Linked DNA regions of Mytilus edulis. The protein of the gene in region 1 purifies or fractionates together with the protein of each later gene. This does not show direct contact. Links are inferred from orthologs where the notes say so. Each region holds a gene or a part of one and is shown on either strand. Other genes may lie near its edges.

What was found.
Region 2: the proteins of proteasome assembly chaperone 1-like (region 1) and proteasome maturation protein-like purify together in Homo sapiens (affinity purification with mass spectrometry; 4 studies listed by BioGRID and IntAct, with this or other methods). This does not show direct contact. The link is inferred for Mytilus edulis from reciprocal best matches to the Homo sapiens genes PSMG1 and POMP.

Annotation. Positions count from the first base shown.
Region 1 is NC_092353.1:70,413,392-70,421,566, forward strand, and holds the start of proteasome assembly chaperone 1-like, read left to right. Parts: upstream 1-4,992; coding exon 4,993-5,183; intron 5,184-8,175. Other genes in the region: synapse-associated protein 1-like, read right to left, coding at 1,739-1,821, 4,401-4,674. UniProt on the Homo sapiens protein: Chaperone protein which promotes assembly of the 20S proteasome as part of a heterodimer with PSMG2.
Region 2 is NC_092351.1:6,550,481-6,559,069, forward strand, and holds the start of proteasome maturation protein-like, read left to right. Parts: upstream 1-5,108; 5' UTR 5,109-5,123; coding exon 5,124-5,138; exon of another isoform or gene 5,139-5,339; coding exon of another isoform or gene 5,340-5,351; intron 5,352-8,589. Other genes in the region: vascular endothelial growth factor receptor 1-like, read right to left, coding at 4,707-4,782. UniProt on the Homo sapiens protein: Molecular chaperone essential for the assembly of standard proteasomes and immunoproteasomes. Degraded after completion of proteasome maturation. Mediates the association of 20S preproteasome with the endoplasmic reticulum.

The DNA.
Region 1 (8,175 bases):
ATCATGCTCATTTTATGGTGTAGCTAAAGTGGCCATCTTAATAAACAGCAGTCAACAACAGCCAAGAGCACTGATTTACAGGCTCCTGAATTGTATGATACAAACCTTATCTTCCACTGACTTGCCAATAAGTTTGGCTTTATCTGCCAGTTTTGTATGATACAAACCTTATCTTCAATTATGTCATCAGAAGAATACATCTGCACTGTTCAATCCAAGTCAATAGAATTAATAAGAACTTTTTGATCTAAATCCATTGTAAAATTCATAATTTGTTAATGTCAGAAGACATCTTTGCTTCTTGTCTGCATGTTCATGAAAGTTCAAATTTGAATTTGTTGATTTGTTGAGGTTGTGTAGGGTCTTGTGACAATTTGATTCCTTTGAAATGTGCCCCTAATAAATACTTTTAATTATCTAAATCTTGAATAATTGCTATAAATTATATAAAAAATATTTATTGTTTGTTTGTAGTTTATTTTTATGTCATAAGTTAGAGATATTGCAGAAGAATACATAAAAACATGTGCTCTCCTCATTGGGCCTCAAACTCTGTGTTCATTTAGGCAGCAACCATTTGATTTTCTGGGGGGGGGCTATGGTTTTTTTTTTCTGTGCAAACTTTTTTTTTCGCCTGTGGCGAAAAACAATCTATTTTTTTCGCGACAAGTCGAAAACAATTTTTTTCTTTCAATTTTAGCATTACATATAGTGGCAGCTGAGGGTGAAACAAACATTTTTTTTTCTATGAATCAAAAGCAAATTATTTTTTTCTCCAAAAACTGGAAACAAACTTTTTTTTCCAAAAAAAACCATAGCCCCCCCCCAGAAAATCAAATGGTTGCTGCCTTATGATGTCACATCCTGTACACAAAGGTTAAAGGAAAACAGATTGGCACCTGACACCTGTGATGGAAAAATTTTCTAAGTTTTTTTCCATCAAGAAAAATGACAGTCTAAATTCCATCCCTATTTCCATCAAAAAAATGTTTAAGTCCAATTTCCATCAAAATTCTTTCATTTCCATCCTATTTACCATCAGATGGAATAAGTGCCATCATATTTTCCATCAGAGGGTAAAGAATGCTGATGGAAAAAATATTCCTAATTTCCATCATCCTTTGATGGATTTTTTTGGTTTGGGATGGAATTCCATCAAGTACCATCCAATTTCCATCAATTGTTGATGGAAAATGAAGAAATTGATGGAAGATCTAGGAAAGGGTTATCTTCCACTGACTTGCCAGTAAGTTTGGCTTTATCTGCCACAGTTTTGTATGATACAAACCTTATCTTCCACTGACTTGCCAATAAGTTTGGCTTTATCTGCCACAGTTTTGTATGATACAAACCTTATCTTCCACTGACTTTGCCAATAAGTTTGTGCTTTATCTGCCACAGTTGTGTATGATACAAACCTTATCTTCCACTGACTTGCCAATAAGTTTGGCTTTATCTGCCACAGTTTTGTATGATACAAACCTTATCTTCCACTGACTTGCCAATAAGTTTGGCTTTATCTGCCACAGTTGTGTATGATACAAACCTTATCTTCCACTGACTTGCCAATAAGTTTGGCTTTATCTGCCACAGTTTTGTATGATACAAACCTTATCTTTCACTGACTTGCCAATAAGTTTGGCCTTATCTGCCACAGTTTTGTATGATACAAACCTTATCTTCCACTGACTTGCTAATAAGCTTGGCTTTATCTGTCACAATTTTGTATGATATATACCTTATCTTCCACTGACTTGCCAATAAGTTTGGCTTTATCTGCCACAGTTTTGCCTGCTTCTTTACTGAAACTGTACAGGTAACCTACAACAAAACATCAAGATAAAAATTTGGATACATGTACATTGTGCATGTGTCACTAAAATTTTGAAGAATTACCAATTGCAATGTAGTGTAATGTGGTGTAGTCATGGATATAAAGGAGACATGCACAGTTAAAATGTATACACATCTATTATAAATACAAATGTAAGTACAGTGTAAAAGTAACAGACAATAAAAATATCTGGCAGATAGATTGTTTTCTGCTCTTTGGTCAGGTTGTTGTATCTTTGACACACTCCTGGAAGTAGGACAAATTGCCCCACAGGCAAATCGCTTCACTTGTGTGCCTGTGGGGCGATTTGTCATGGAATCATACTAATTTTTTATATTTTAATTTTATGATAAACTTTTTTTAAACACAAATTGAAATCATATGATATACATGTATTTGAAGACTTGAAGTATTATTGTTACATGGTTACAATCATGACAATGGTTAAAAATGCCACTTTGAAAAGTTTTACCAAAGGTTCAATGTCTTAAAAAGTTGTGAAATTTCAGAACATATCTGTTTTGGAATAAATAGCAACAATGTGAGTAGAAAATGTGGATGGCCACAAAGAAAAAGTGATTATTGCAGGAGTCAATAGTTTAAATGTCGCTCATTATCAGGTCAAGTGTCCAAAATAGTGATAATACTATTCATAAGGGGACGAAGTCCCCTATAACAGTAGAAAATTTTTTTTTTTTTTTTTAAATTGGAAAATTACTTGAAATTTTTCATTGTATTAATGAACTCCAAATCGTTAACTTTTTTTTAATTCCTGCATTTGCGCAGAAATCTACTTCCTTCTTCCGGTCTTGTTTGTCACGAGACTTGGAGTGAAATAAATTGTATATATTTAGAGTCAGTCCAGTAAAATATAGGAAGGAACACAATAACAATTTCATTTTTAATTATTCTTTGATCATGTTCATGATGTTGATATGAAAAAAAAGTAACCTGATGTCAGCGTTTCTTTGTTTACATTGAATATGACGTCATTACTTAAATAATGGCTTTCGCGTCGATCCGGCCCCACGTCGATCCGGCCCAAGTCGATCCGTCCCACGTCGATCCGGCCCCACGTCGATCCGGCCCAAATGTAAAGTCGATCCGGCCCCAATAAAAAAATATATTTATAAGGAATAAAAATAAAGATATATATTAAAGTAATTCATAAATGTTTATGATTTTTATTATAATGTTAAAGGTGTACGGTAAAAAAAAATTAAAAAATATTTTCTTCAGATGAGTATAAAACAACTAGGTTGATTATGTTTTTATTACAAGTTTTCAAGATTATTGGGTATAATTATATTACAACAATTCAGACATCAACATTAATCAGCAGTAATTAGCGTTTTCTTTCAATTGACTGTGATCCTAACAAGTCTTTCATCTTGTGTAATAACAAATAGTTACATACACAACGGTACAAGCCGATCCCCAAGCTGATACATACAAACTTTGTTTTTCTTTTAAGTTCTTAAAATTTCTTAAATTGAGAAATGTTGTTTGATTTGCCGAATCCTATCTATAAAAGAGAAGACATAAATTTATGAAAAATAGATCGATATAGGAAGATGTGGTGTGATTGCCAATGAGAAAACTCTCCATCCAAATAACAGTTTATAGAATCCTGTGATGCTACCTGAAAAAAATACAATTTATAATTATTATATACACCAACCTAAACCAGAAGATCAATTAATCAGGATTTGATTTAATTAAGTGATTACAAGTGGCATTACCTTAGTTCACAATCATCAGACAATTGTTGAATAAACAAACCAATTATAGACTAATGATTTGATTAATCAAGTCATTATGATGAGTTAAATTTAATAGGTTCCAGTGGACTGTAAATATTTATTTAGATATTCTGTGTATGAACAAAAAGAAAATGAAATCGCCATGAGTTAAAAGTTAAAGTTATCATGGAAAATAACTTCATATTTTAAAATATGTTGAAGCTGCTATACAACCAACGACACAATAACAATCATTTTCGTATCGATTTAAAATAGTTCTTTAACTGGTACTCCAATACTTCACTTGCCTGTTGTCATCCATTATCGGACACTTTTTGCAAATTCCATTTATACTGTGTCACAAATTCCTCCAAGAATATATATATATAGTTATTTCTTATTTTATTATGGGGCCGGATCGACTTGGGGCCGGATCGACGTGGGCCGGATCGACTTGGGCCGGATCGACTTTGGGCCGGATTGACTTGGGGCCGGATCGGTTTGGGGCCGGAACGACCGGATACCAAATAATGTCACAAGACTCACAACTAAAATCCCTAACAAAAGAACCTAAATCGGAATCGTTAAGGTATTTCAGATTCTTTGTTTAAGTAAAAATACATGTATGTTTGAATAAAAATAAAAAAAATATATAGACTTCGTCCCCTTTCACAGAGAATGCCTGCCTCATACTAAAAAAGCTTAAAATTGGTGTTTATGTAGAGATTATTTTTGTATTCTTGTTATATAATTTTCCCTAGGCTAAGGCAAGTAAGTCCTAAGGTTTCAAATCATAATAAAACAAGTATAATAAATTGTCATACTTCCCCATTCTTTAGCAGCATTCAATGCTTTAGAAGATACATCCTCTAGTTTATGTTTAGCTGCATCCAAAGAAATGTCGATATCGCCATCTCCTTCTTCTTTGTTTTCTGGTTCTTTTTTATCTGGGTCTGATGTCAACTTTTCTTTCTCACTCTCAGAATCAGGGTTCTTTTCATTGTTTTCATTTTTGCCTTTGTTTTCTTTGTTTTCTTCGTCAGATTCAGCTTCCCTCTCTTGGCTCATTCCCAACCAATTTGTCATAGAACTAAACATTTTTGTTTTTGTTATTTCATTCACAGCTGACGGAATTATCGATTTTCAATGTTTACAACAAGGCGGAAATGATGTCATCCGTATACAAAAAAATAAGTACTGTTAATTTTCGAGTCCAAATCGATGTCATTTACAACGCATTTCTCTCCTAAATTTCGTGATCTAGATGAAGATGTGATAATGATAAATGTGTTTGTTATAACAACTTAATATATTGACCGAAGTAAAGTTTTGACTTCAACATAAAAGTTATGGAGATAGTAGCAAGAAGGTCAGATCAAAGTATTTAACTTAGCTTTCAACGACCTTGACACTTCAATGAAAATAACAAGTCTGAATCATTCATTTGTTTTTCAGAAGCAAGTTTCTGTGTATATTGACAAGAAAACAAATCACCATATAAAAACATTACAAAGCATGGCAACATTTTTTGGAGAAGTGCTCCCAGTAGTTTCTAGAGCAGTCGAGGAAGACGATGACAACGACAGCGAATCCGAATGTTTTGAAAGGTTTTATTCAGATAGTTGGAAATTCTTGTCTGTTACTAACTATCGGAAGCGGACCAACTCGCCCCGTTGAAAACCGCCCTCACAAAATCGCCCCACTTTTTCTCAAACATTTCCAACTCATTTTTTTTTTGTATTTTCTAAACAATTACATGACAAAAGCATAATTAATTCTTTATATATCATAGAAATGATGATTAACAATTAACAAATGATCAGGGGATCATGATTATCGTCGTGTCATATGTTTTCGTATCAACCACATTTCGTTGGTTTCGACTGCATACACGTACATTGTGGCGTGTTTTTCTGTTTCTTTATTTAGAACACTAACACCACTACAACTTGACAATTTTAAAACATTCAACGTCGCTTTTTAAAGACGTTAGAACAAATTTAATAAAACTGACCTATTTAGCCATTTTTATTTAATGTCAAAAATATGCATCACTAGAATAGTTGTGGAAAAAATATCTGAAAGATTAGAATAAAGGCCAGATAGGTTTTTTGCCTTTCAGACATCTGATCTTCAAGACATGTGACTGTCATCAGTCAGGGGACTTACTTAAATAAGTGATTTTCTAAATCACTGATTTAAGTAACATTATTTCCATAAAGGTTGGAAGTTAGAGTTGTCTTTCTTTAATAATCACCTAATTAAGTAGTACAAATTAATAACTAGAAGAAGTGATTTAATTTTACTGTAGCTTTAAATATAGAATACTAATGATCCAGGGACTAATTATGTTTCTAAACTTATCAGAACCAACATCTGTGTTGTCTAGGATGACCAGGTCATTTCAGGTGATGACCTTGTACTGAATCTAGGATAATGACATAAAAATCACTTGTTTAAGTATCAGACCTCAATTTCCTTCCCAAAAATCACTTCTTTAAGTATCATTCTTTTAATAATCCCTACTAATTTCAACACCCCCGAACAGTGAGATTTTTATCGCGAACAGTAGAATTTTATTACATAATCTGAAAGATGAAACCTTGAACTTCACAGGAAAAATACTCTCACTGCTGGGAAAAATCTTTTAAGAAAGTATCAGTTCATTATGTAAAGCCATTATTATAGCATTTTTTCAACTAAAATAGAATTTTCAGCTAAATGATAGCATCAAAGGCAGAAACCTTTCTACTTAAAAGAAGCAAAAAGTTTTTTTTTTTTTTAATTTTACTAATTAAAAGATATTATTTAAACCTATGAGTTTAAAATTTGGAAAAAAATACAAAATTCCAATTTGTGACAAAACCACGATTTTGCTACTCAAATAAGTGATTTAAAAATCACCTATTTCAGTAAGTCCCCTGACTGGTCATGTGTTTTTTTTTTTTGTCGTTTTAATTACAAATCAGCGAGTTAAAATTAACAGGGTTCTTAGATAAAATGGTTGTTCAAAACCTAATTATTCAATATTTTATTGACGATTCTTTTTATACATCCTTGATACATGAAAATGAATACAGTCTTAACTTTTTATCAGTTTATATTTAATCCTAGATTTTGAAAACTGCATTTTATTTTAGAAAAAATAATGTATTTTGTACAAACTATGTGCCAATCTGAAATTAATAAAAATCTAATAATTTCAGCACATGAAACACCAACCTAAAACTATTTACTAGTAATTTTTAGTACTGAAAAGTATTAAATAACTTTTTTTATGATTCAAGCGATCACCAGAACCACGACTTTAGAAAATATTAATTTTCGGATTTTATAGTCATTTCCTGTCCGTGTACTTATCCAATTTTTATTTCATACGAAAACATATGACGCCGTTTTTTTGACATACAAAAATTTCAAAGTTATTGGAAACATTAAAAAAATCGTAGTAAGCCTTGACAAAAAAACTAAGTACCTAAAATCAATCTACAGGACATGCTTTTTAAATTTAAGTAAACACCTGAATAAAAACTCACAGTGAAAACCGTAAGCAGTAAAAATTGTTATTAGTACGAAAACACATTACACGACGATATGACTAGAATAGAAACATGTTTTATGGCCCTGTCGTAGCAGAGAGGCATTGAGTTATACCCTTGTACATGATGTACGTCCACACTTACGGTACGTCCCAAAGTTGGTTTATCTCAACCAAATGTTTTGACACTTACACAATGCAATGCATGATACCACAAAATACAGATCGAGTTTGAATTTTAGTGGTGTCACTTTTACCATTCTAGAGTTATGCCCCTTTACAAATAGAAAAATTGCTGATTTTTTTGTTTCCGTTCTCTTTCTTTAATGTACCTCAACCAAATGTTATGAAACTTATACATGTTATACACAATGCTTATTACTGCAAAACACAGATCAAATTTGAAGTTTGGTAGCATCACTTTGAGTATTCTAGAGTTATGCCCCTTTAGTAATGGAAATATTGCCAAATTTTTCATAAACATTCTCTAACTTAAGTTTTCCTCAACTAAATGGTATGAAAGGTACATACAATGTTTATTACCACAAAACCCTGATCAAGTCCCAATTATGGTCACTTTAGCAGTTATTGTGTTATATCCCTATTTAAAATTATATGTGACCCATGGACACATTATTCATGTTATTCATTTATTTAAATATTAGGCTGGTCAAAGCAACAATCTTCTTCACTTTAAAATATTTCTTATAAACTATCATAATTAACATGATTAATGTTTTTGGTATAACTTACTTTTTTTTTTATCAATTTCAATATTTTCTTAACAGTCATCAACTGATCTATATAAAAAAAAATTCCAAGTAAAAATAAATGTATGATATAAAGGTATTTTACCATTTGTTTCTTAACACATATGTTCTTAAAAACAAAGGGGCTTCCGTGGCTGAGTGGTCTAAGTAGTTACTACTGTAATCATTAGCCAGTGAACACTGTGGTTGTGAATTCGAACCCCGAATGTGCTGGTGCACTTGACTCCCAATCTTATTTGACTAGGATTGTCAGTTTTCCTATCAAAGGTCAGTGGTTTTCTCTGGTCACTC
Region 2 (8,589 bases), on another chromosome or scaffold:
ACATGCATATTTGCATCAGCCAATTGTCAGATACCCTTGTACAATGTTGTACAATCAGCCAATTGTCAGATACCCTTGTCCAATGTTGTACAATCAGCTAATTGTCAGATACCCTTGTCCAATGTTGTACAATCAGCCAATTGTCAGATACCCTTGTCCAATGTTGTACAATCAGCCAATTGTCAGATACCCTTGTCCAATGTTGTACAATCAGCCAATTGTCAGATACCCTTGTTCAATGTTGTACTGTCAGATACCCTTGTTCAATGTTGTACAATCAGCCAATTGTCAGATACCCTTGTTCAATGTTGTACAATCAGCCAATTGTCAGATACCCTTGTACAATGTTGTACAATCAGCCAATTGTCAGATATATATAATTTTATTTGCCTCCTATTGGAGAGTATGAAACAAAGCAAAGACAATTACAATTAATCATATACAAACAACACGAGTTATGATTTACACAGAGACAGTCAATAAAGACGAGATCACAACGAAAAGTTCAATTATTTACATAGAACAGGCTATTATTTAAACTTGGAATTATTTTTAATTATGGAATTTGTTAAATTTTCTGTGCTGGAAATTTTTAATAAATTCCATGTTTATTTGGTATAATTTTGTTTTGAGCAGTTCATAACACTTTCCATATAATGTATTTTGTATAGATAGTGTTGTGCGCGGCACAGTACATTCTATTGAAAATGTACTATCTTCTTTGTAAATGAAAGTGTTGTGCGCAGCACAGACCATTGAAGTACAGAATAAGCAAGGAATTTACTAGAAATTTCAAGCACAAGAAATTATAAAATTTCCATAATTAATAATAATTCCAAGTTTAAATAATAGCCTGTTATATGTTCATTACAGTTTGAAGATAGTTTATGTACTTCTAGCAGCAGTTGCGGTTCTGTAACAATTTACAAGAATTGTAGATAAAGTTCATACACGTGAAGTTAAACTGTTCACGTTCTTTATTCTGTAGATCAAAATCGGTGTCACAGGCAAGAATACAATTAAGCAATTTATTGTCAGTCATATTTCCTAAGTGAACACTAAATGAAATCGGGTTTATGTCTATAACACTCCTCCAAAATTGATCTCGAGCATCAACTGTATAGTCACATGATAGTATCGCATGAGTACAAGGATCATCAAAAAGTTTACCACATTTATCGCACAGTATTCTGTTGTTTTGTAAGTTCTCGCGTATAAGACAGCACGTTGATGTTACAAAATGGGCCTGTCTGCGCATCAGTGGGTGACGCAGTGCTACTCTCCACGCCGCATGCGGTACACAAAACGAGTGAATGTCTTTGAAAACAACAAAATCAGGATCCACTGCCATACGATGATGCCACTTTACTACCTCAACCTGGTAAATTGACGTCTTGACTACCGATTTCCAAATTGCCGAACTTGGGAATTGTCCATCATTGAGAAACTGATCTAGATATTTCGATAAACCATATTTTGTGAGTATTTTAATAATGTCACAAGCGAAACCTGATCTTGTGTCATATTGATTATATCTAGCATCAATGAGTCTACGGAGAAGAATACGGAATGAGACAGCTGAGTATGGAAGGCGACATGTTCTTCCAAAAAACAACAGTTTTCGTTCACATATAAAACTTTCAATTGAAAGCCATCCTAATAATGACACACACATGTCGCTTCTTGTTCTTCTTGGTAAACCTTGTATAAATTTACAAATATAGTGGTGAGTTCTTTCAAGCATCAGTATTTCAGTGCAGGTAAGTTTTCCCCTGAGTTCACAACCGTATAGTGCTTTCGGATAGCAGAGCTGACGTATAATCTTTGCACATTAATTGGATTTACAATGGCTGGGTGTATTCCAAGGCGTATAACTGATGTCGTTGTCAAGCGCAAGGTGCGACAAGCTTTAAGAGTTCTGTCCATTGTTTTTAAAGATGTATCTAGTTGAATACCAATATGTCGAGCAGAAGTTACATAGTACATCAGCCAATTGTCAGATACCCTTGTCCAATGTTGTACAATCAGCCAATTGTCAGATACCCTTGTCCAATGTTGTACAATCAGCCAATTGTCAGATACCCTTGTCCAATGTTGTACAATCAGCCAATTGTCAGATACCTGTACAATGTTGTACAATCAGCCAATTGTCAGATACCCTTGTACAATCATACAGAATAGATTGGTGTTAAGCATGTCTGTCAGAAAAGTCATGTACATGTACAGAAACTAGCAAAAACAGACCATGTTCTTAATTTGACTGTTGGTAACTCACACATTAGAGATGTTAATTGCGAAAAGCTCCTTGGGGTTTTTATTGATGAAAATCTTGAGTGGACAGCCCAAATTGACACTTTGTGCACAAAAATCAGTACCAGACTAAATCTTTTGTCTAGGATAAAGAAATCCCTCCCCCTAGAAACACGAAAGTTATACTTTAATGGTTATATTCTCCCTATTTTGGATTACTGTTGTACAATTTGAGGAAACACCAGTGACCAAAATACAAATAGATTAGATAAACTTCAAAAATGAGCAGCTAGAATTATTCTTGAACTTCCTTATGATACCCCATCAAATACAATGTTTAAAAAGTTATCATGGCTTCGATTTACTGATCGTGTAATTTACCACAAGGCCTTATATGTTCATAGATGTTTATATGGATCTGTCCCAGAATATTTGTCTAACAAAATCTCCTATGTTACAAATAAAAATGGAATGCAACTTAGATCAAATACTACCCAATTACTTAATATACCAAAGGCAAGAACAAACACATATATAGAAGATCTTTTTCATATTCTGGCCCAACTTTATGGAATAAACTACCAGAAGCACTAAGACATATGTCAAACATAAATACTTTTAAAACAAACTGGTTTAAGTTTTTACTTGAAAATCCAGGAATTATTTAAATGACTATGTATCAATTTTGATTTATGTTTTCTTATGTTTATCTTTGTTATGAAGAAATTGTGTGAATTGCATTGTGAGTGGAGTGTGAGGGCCTCAAGGGAGAATAGTGTTTGTACTAATTGAGCATACCCTCTTGAAATAAAGATTATTATTATTATTATCATGTACTTTGTATGTGGTTGTAATGTAAAGTTCAATAGGTTTTATAATTCTCTGTGGTTCTACGTGGTCTCATGATCAGTATTAGGCAAAAGATGTGTATGTACATGTATCTATATACATGTATATATACATGTATGTAAAAAAAATAAATCATGTGATATATACATTGTTCATGTATAGGTAAATATACACTTGGAGAAGACATTTCTTACTTGAAAAAATTGTGTCTAATTGGTTTGTCCTTATACATGTATATATTGAACAATAAAATATGTAAACTATAATTGTTTTACATGGTTAAATTTCACTTTTAAACTGGACATTTAAAAAGATACTCTTTGTGAAATACATGTACATGTACACAAATGTATGTATATTTCTCAGGTTTACGATGATTTTGGTTAGACCTACTGTGGCTAAAGGCACACAATGTAGTGTAAACTTGTATATATATATCATGTATATTACAGATACAAAAATAAGAGAGATATGGGGTATTTATCAGTGTTTATGGAATTGATTAAAGTTACAACTTTGACAAAATTAACTAGACTAGGATTCAACTAACTATCAGAGACATATAATACAATGTCTCCCCAACTATATAGCAGACACGTGCTAATACTGTACATGTATGTACAAAAGTGTATGTCAAGCTCTTACAATGAGTGTACATGTACATGTATGTCTAGACAAATTGTGAATGAAATTACGAAATTAAAGACTTAAGACCTACAATCAATATAACAGTTTCTATGGGCAAAAGTCACTTGGATACATTGGGGTATGTACAATGTATGTGTCTTATTCTAATAATAGTAATCTCTATAAACCAGCCTTGCATAGGAAAACTATCCTCTTGTTAGCCTGCAGCCAGAGGGAACACATTTTATTTCATGACTTGTAAAATAAAAACACATTTATACATGTATGTCTGCTACATTTTTTTTGTTTGTGTACATTTATTTTATTCTAAACATGACTTCAGAAAGAAATTTTGAAAAAGGATGCTGGCATTCAATGAAAAGCATGCACTTTAAATAGTGACTTACATTTATATTAAAGGCTAAGTGTTTCCATTTAGCTTTGTCTTTAGATATATAAAATGTATGCATGTAAAATGTAGATACATGTATAAGAAGATGTGGTATGAGTGCCAATTATACAACTCTGCATCATCATGATCATTGTCCATTTAAGTCACAATTTATATTTAAAGTACTGTAAACCATTGAAGGTCAAAGTTCAGTCTTCAACATGGAGCCTTGGCTCACACCATACAGCAAGCTACAAAAAAAAATGTATAAAGGGCCCCAAAAATGACCAGTATAAATTAACCATTCAAACAGGATAACTGCCAGTCTAATCTATAAAAAAAAACAAGAAACAATTTAATGTCAAGTTGCACAATATATATGAACCACAACAACAAAAGACAACCACTGAACATCAGTTTTCTGACTTAGGGACAGTTGCAAACACATGCAGTATGTTTAAACGTTTTAATAGGTACATGTACATTTGTACCAACCTTCACCCTTACCTGAAACAATATTGTAACATCACAACATAAAAAGACATACATTGCACATGCACTTGGTGAAATAACTTATTGTTAAACTTACGATTCTGAAAGGTATCTACTGATATTATCCAAAAAATCACGAAACAGCATACATGTTTTGAATGTGTATAATCCATTTTCAGGTAAAAAAAATGTTCAGGTGCTTTAAACTTTTTCTGAAGCAGTTAAGAGCTAATTTCCATATCCATGAACATATAATCAAAAGATAATGTACAATTTATATTTAAATACACACTTATTCCATATCTAAAAACGTAAAAATCAGACTTAGTGTGATTTATGTGTCATTTTCACTTTCTATTTATCAACGTTTTTCTCATCAAGCATATCAAAGGAGTTCCTTTTGGCTAATCCAATTATCTCCCCAAAATCAGAAAAAAACTCAGTTGATAATTATTCCCACAAACTATTACAGAAAGCGTAAAAATATTCAACTGAATCTACCAAAACCGCTTTGATGTGTAGTTTAAGGGTATGTAGTTTAAGGGTAGTATTAACAATGTTTGAAGAAAAATACAAATTTAAAAGCTCGCAGGAGGTAAAAGTATCAGCCTCTGAGTAAAGGGGTTCCCCGTTCCCGGAGTCTTCGGACTTTTTCATGTTTGAGTACGATAAATCTCGTAACTGGGGAAAGCCCACTTAATGCGCAAGATAGGAAGTTTAATTTACCAACATGGCGAACTTGGTAAGAAACCTGACTTGCAATTTTGATTGAAATGATTTCAAAGCGGCTTGCGCTTATAAATGCTGTTTTAATTAATGAGTATAGTCAATTTTATTGTTTCCTGACTCTGAAAACAACACAAATTATTTTCACTTGCACCCAAGTAGTTGTTTCCCGTGTTAAATGCGAATAAAATTATTTTGATGACCCTTTCTTTTGAAGCTTCAAGTCTTTTGAGACGTTTCGGCCACACAACCAGTTCGACCACATGTAGTTTCTTTCACAGGACTAGTTCGACCACAGTTGTAAAGGCAAAAGTCGGTGTGCCAACATTTGATCTATTTATCTATCTACATGTATCTTCATATTTCCACACTCAGTGGATTGTTATCCTATGTACATGATGTATATTAAAGTTAAGAAGATGAAACTAAAGGCTAAAGCAAACTTTATTGCATATAATTTATTTGTTTCAGTCTGCAGACTACACGTGGTACCTCGAATGACCGAAAAACACTGTTAATTTCAAAATACTTGTAATGACAGAATAACACTTTTTAATATTAGCACATATTGGTGACTTTTAAATATTGATTATTAAATAAAAGTATATTATCGATGTATTTTATGACTTATAAATGATTTACAGCTGAAAGCAGATAAGTTCATTAAAAACTTTTAAAATTATGACGACCACGGACATCACAATGGACACCATGTTCTCTGTACACATTAAATTTAAAATGATCTTTATGAACTTATCTGCTTTCTGAAAAACATTTTTGTGTTATAAGATACATCGATAATATACTATTATTTAATAATCAATGTTTAAAAGTCACCAATATGAACTAATATTAAAATTTCAAGTGTTATTCGGTCATTACAAGTGTTATTCGGATAATAACAGTGCTATTCGGTGATTCGTGTTACCTGACTACAAGTATAGCACATTATATATCTTTTAATTGGAACTTCACAATAGTGTGTCTTCCATTAATTATTCAGAGACTAGACAGAAACTCATACATGAGATATACTTTAACACGGGATCGTTACATATTGATTTGGCCAGCTTCCATTGTCAGACATGCAGAAACTGGACATGAGTTATTTGAATGTTCATACAAATGAAATTTATTTTTCAATGTCAAAACTTACCAAGACTAGGAAGACTGGTTCACAACTATAACATTTAGTTCATTCCCTGAGAATCTTAAAGTTGTTCAATGTATCTTAAGACTACATTTGTACATTGATAAAACAGTGAGCCTTCCTTCTAATGATTGTTATCAACTGCCCATTAGTTTTATTAAACCTCACAAACCTGTCATATCATGCACAATTCAATTGCCTATTGGTTAAAACGTATACAAGAATCTGCAGGCGTAGATACTGATATTTTCAAACAACATTCAACTCGGGTGCCAGTTCACTAAAACAAACAAGTTTGGAACCTAGACTTTGTTTTTGCTTAAATTAAAATTATAGAAATCCTTGATATAAGTAAATATTTGTACTCACATTTAACATACAATATTGTTATACCACTGCCAAAAAAATATGCAATCATATATTGGTATCACGTCGTTGTCGTCAGCGTTGTCTTTGTCTGAAGACATTTGGTTTCAGGACAATAACTTGAGTATAAGTAAATAGAAATCCATGAAATTTAAACACAAGGTTTATAACCACAAAAGGAAGGTTGGGATGGATTAACAGTTGATGAATTAGGGGCCTAAATACATTTTAGCATTTTTAGCTCACCTGGCCTAAAAGGCCATGTGAGCTTTTCTCATCACTTGGCGTCCGTCGTCGTCGTCGTCGTCGTCGTCGTCGTTAACAATTTTTCAAACATCTTCTCCTCTGAAACTACTGAATGGATTTGAATGAAACTTAAGATGATTGTTCCTTAGTATATCCTGCACAAAATGTGCGCTTCGATTTTTGATCCGTCAAAAAACATGGCCGCCGTTACTTAAAATAGAACATAGGGGTCAAATGCAGTTTTTGGCTTATATCTCAAAAACGAAAGCATTTAGAGCAAATCTGACAAGGGGTAAAAATGTTCATTAGGTCAAGATCTATCAGCCCTGAAATTTTCAGATGAATCAAACAAACCATTGTTGGGTTGCTGCCACTTAATTGGTAATTTTAAGGAAATTTTGCAGTTTTTGGTCATTATCTTGAATATTATTATAGATAAAGATAAACTGTAAACAGCAAAAAAGATCAGCAAAGTAAGATCTACAAATAAGTTAATTTGACCAAAATTGTCAATTGACCCCTTAAGGGGTTATTGTCCTTTAATGACAATTTTTCACAATTTGTTCATCATATTTGCTAACTTTAAAAAATCTTCTCCTCTGAAACTACTGAATGGATTTGGTTAAAACTTAGCATGATTGTTCCTTAGATTATCCTGCACAAAGTGTGTGCTTTGATTTTTGATCCGTCAAAAAACATGGCCGCCGTTACTTAAAATAGAACAGGAGTCAAATGCAGTTTTTGGCTTATATCTCAAAAACGAAAGCATTTAGAGCAAATCTGACAAGGGGTAAAAATGTTCATTAGGTCAAGATCTATCAGCCCTGAAATTTTCAGATGAATCAAACAAACCATTGTTGGGTTGCTGCCACTTAATTGGTAATTTTAAGGAAATTTTGCAGTTTTTGGTCATTTTCTTGAATATTATTATAGATAAAGATAAACTGTAAACAGCAAAAAAGATCAGCAAAGTAAGATCTACAAATAAGTTAATTTGACCAAAATTGTCAATTGACCCCTTAAGGGGTTATTGTCCTTTAATGACAATTTTTCACAATTTGTTCATCATATTTGCTTACTTTAAAAAATCTTCTCCTCTGAAACTACTGAATGGATTTGGTTAAAACTTAGCATGGTTGTTCCTTAGATTATCCCGCACAAAGTGTGTGTTTTGATTTTTGATCTGTCAAAAACATGGCCGCCGTTACTTAAAATAGAACATAGGGGTCAAATGCAGTTTTTGGCTTATATCTCAAAAACGAAAGCATTAAGAGCAAATCTGACATGGAGTAAAAATGTTCATTAGGTCAATATCTATCAGCCCTGAAATTTTCAGATGAATCAAACATCCAATTGTTGGGTTGCTGCCACTTAATTGGTAATTTTAAGGAAATTTTGCAGTTTTTGGTCATTATCTTGAATATTATTATAGATAAAGATAAACTGTAAACAGCAACTATGATCAGCAAAGTAAGATCTACAAATAAGTCAA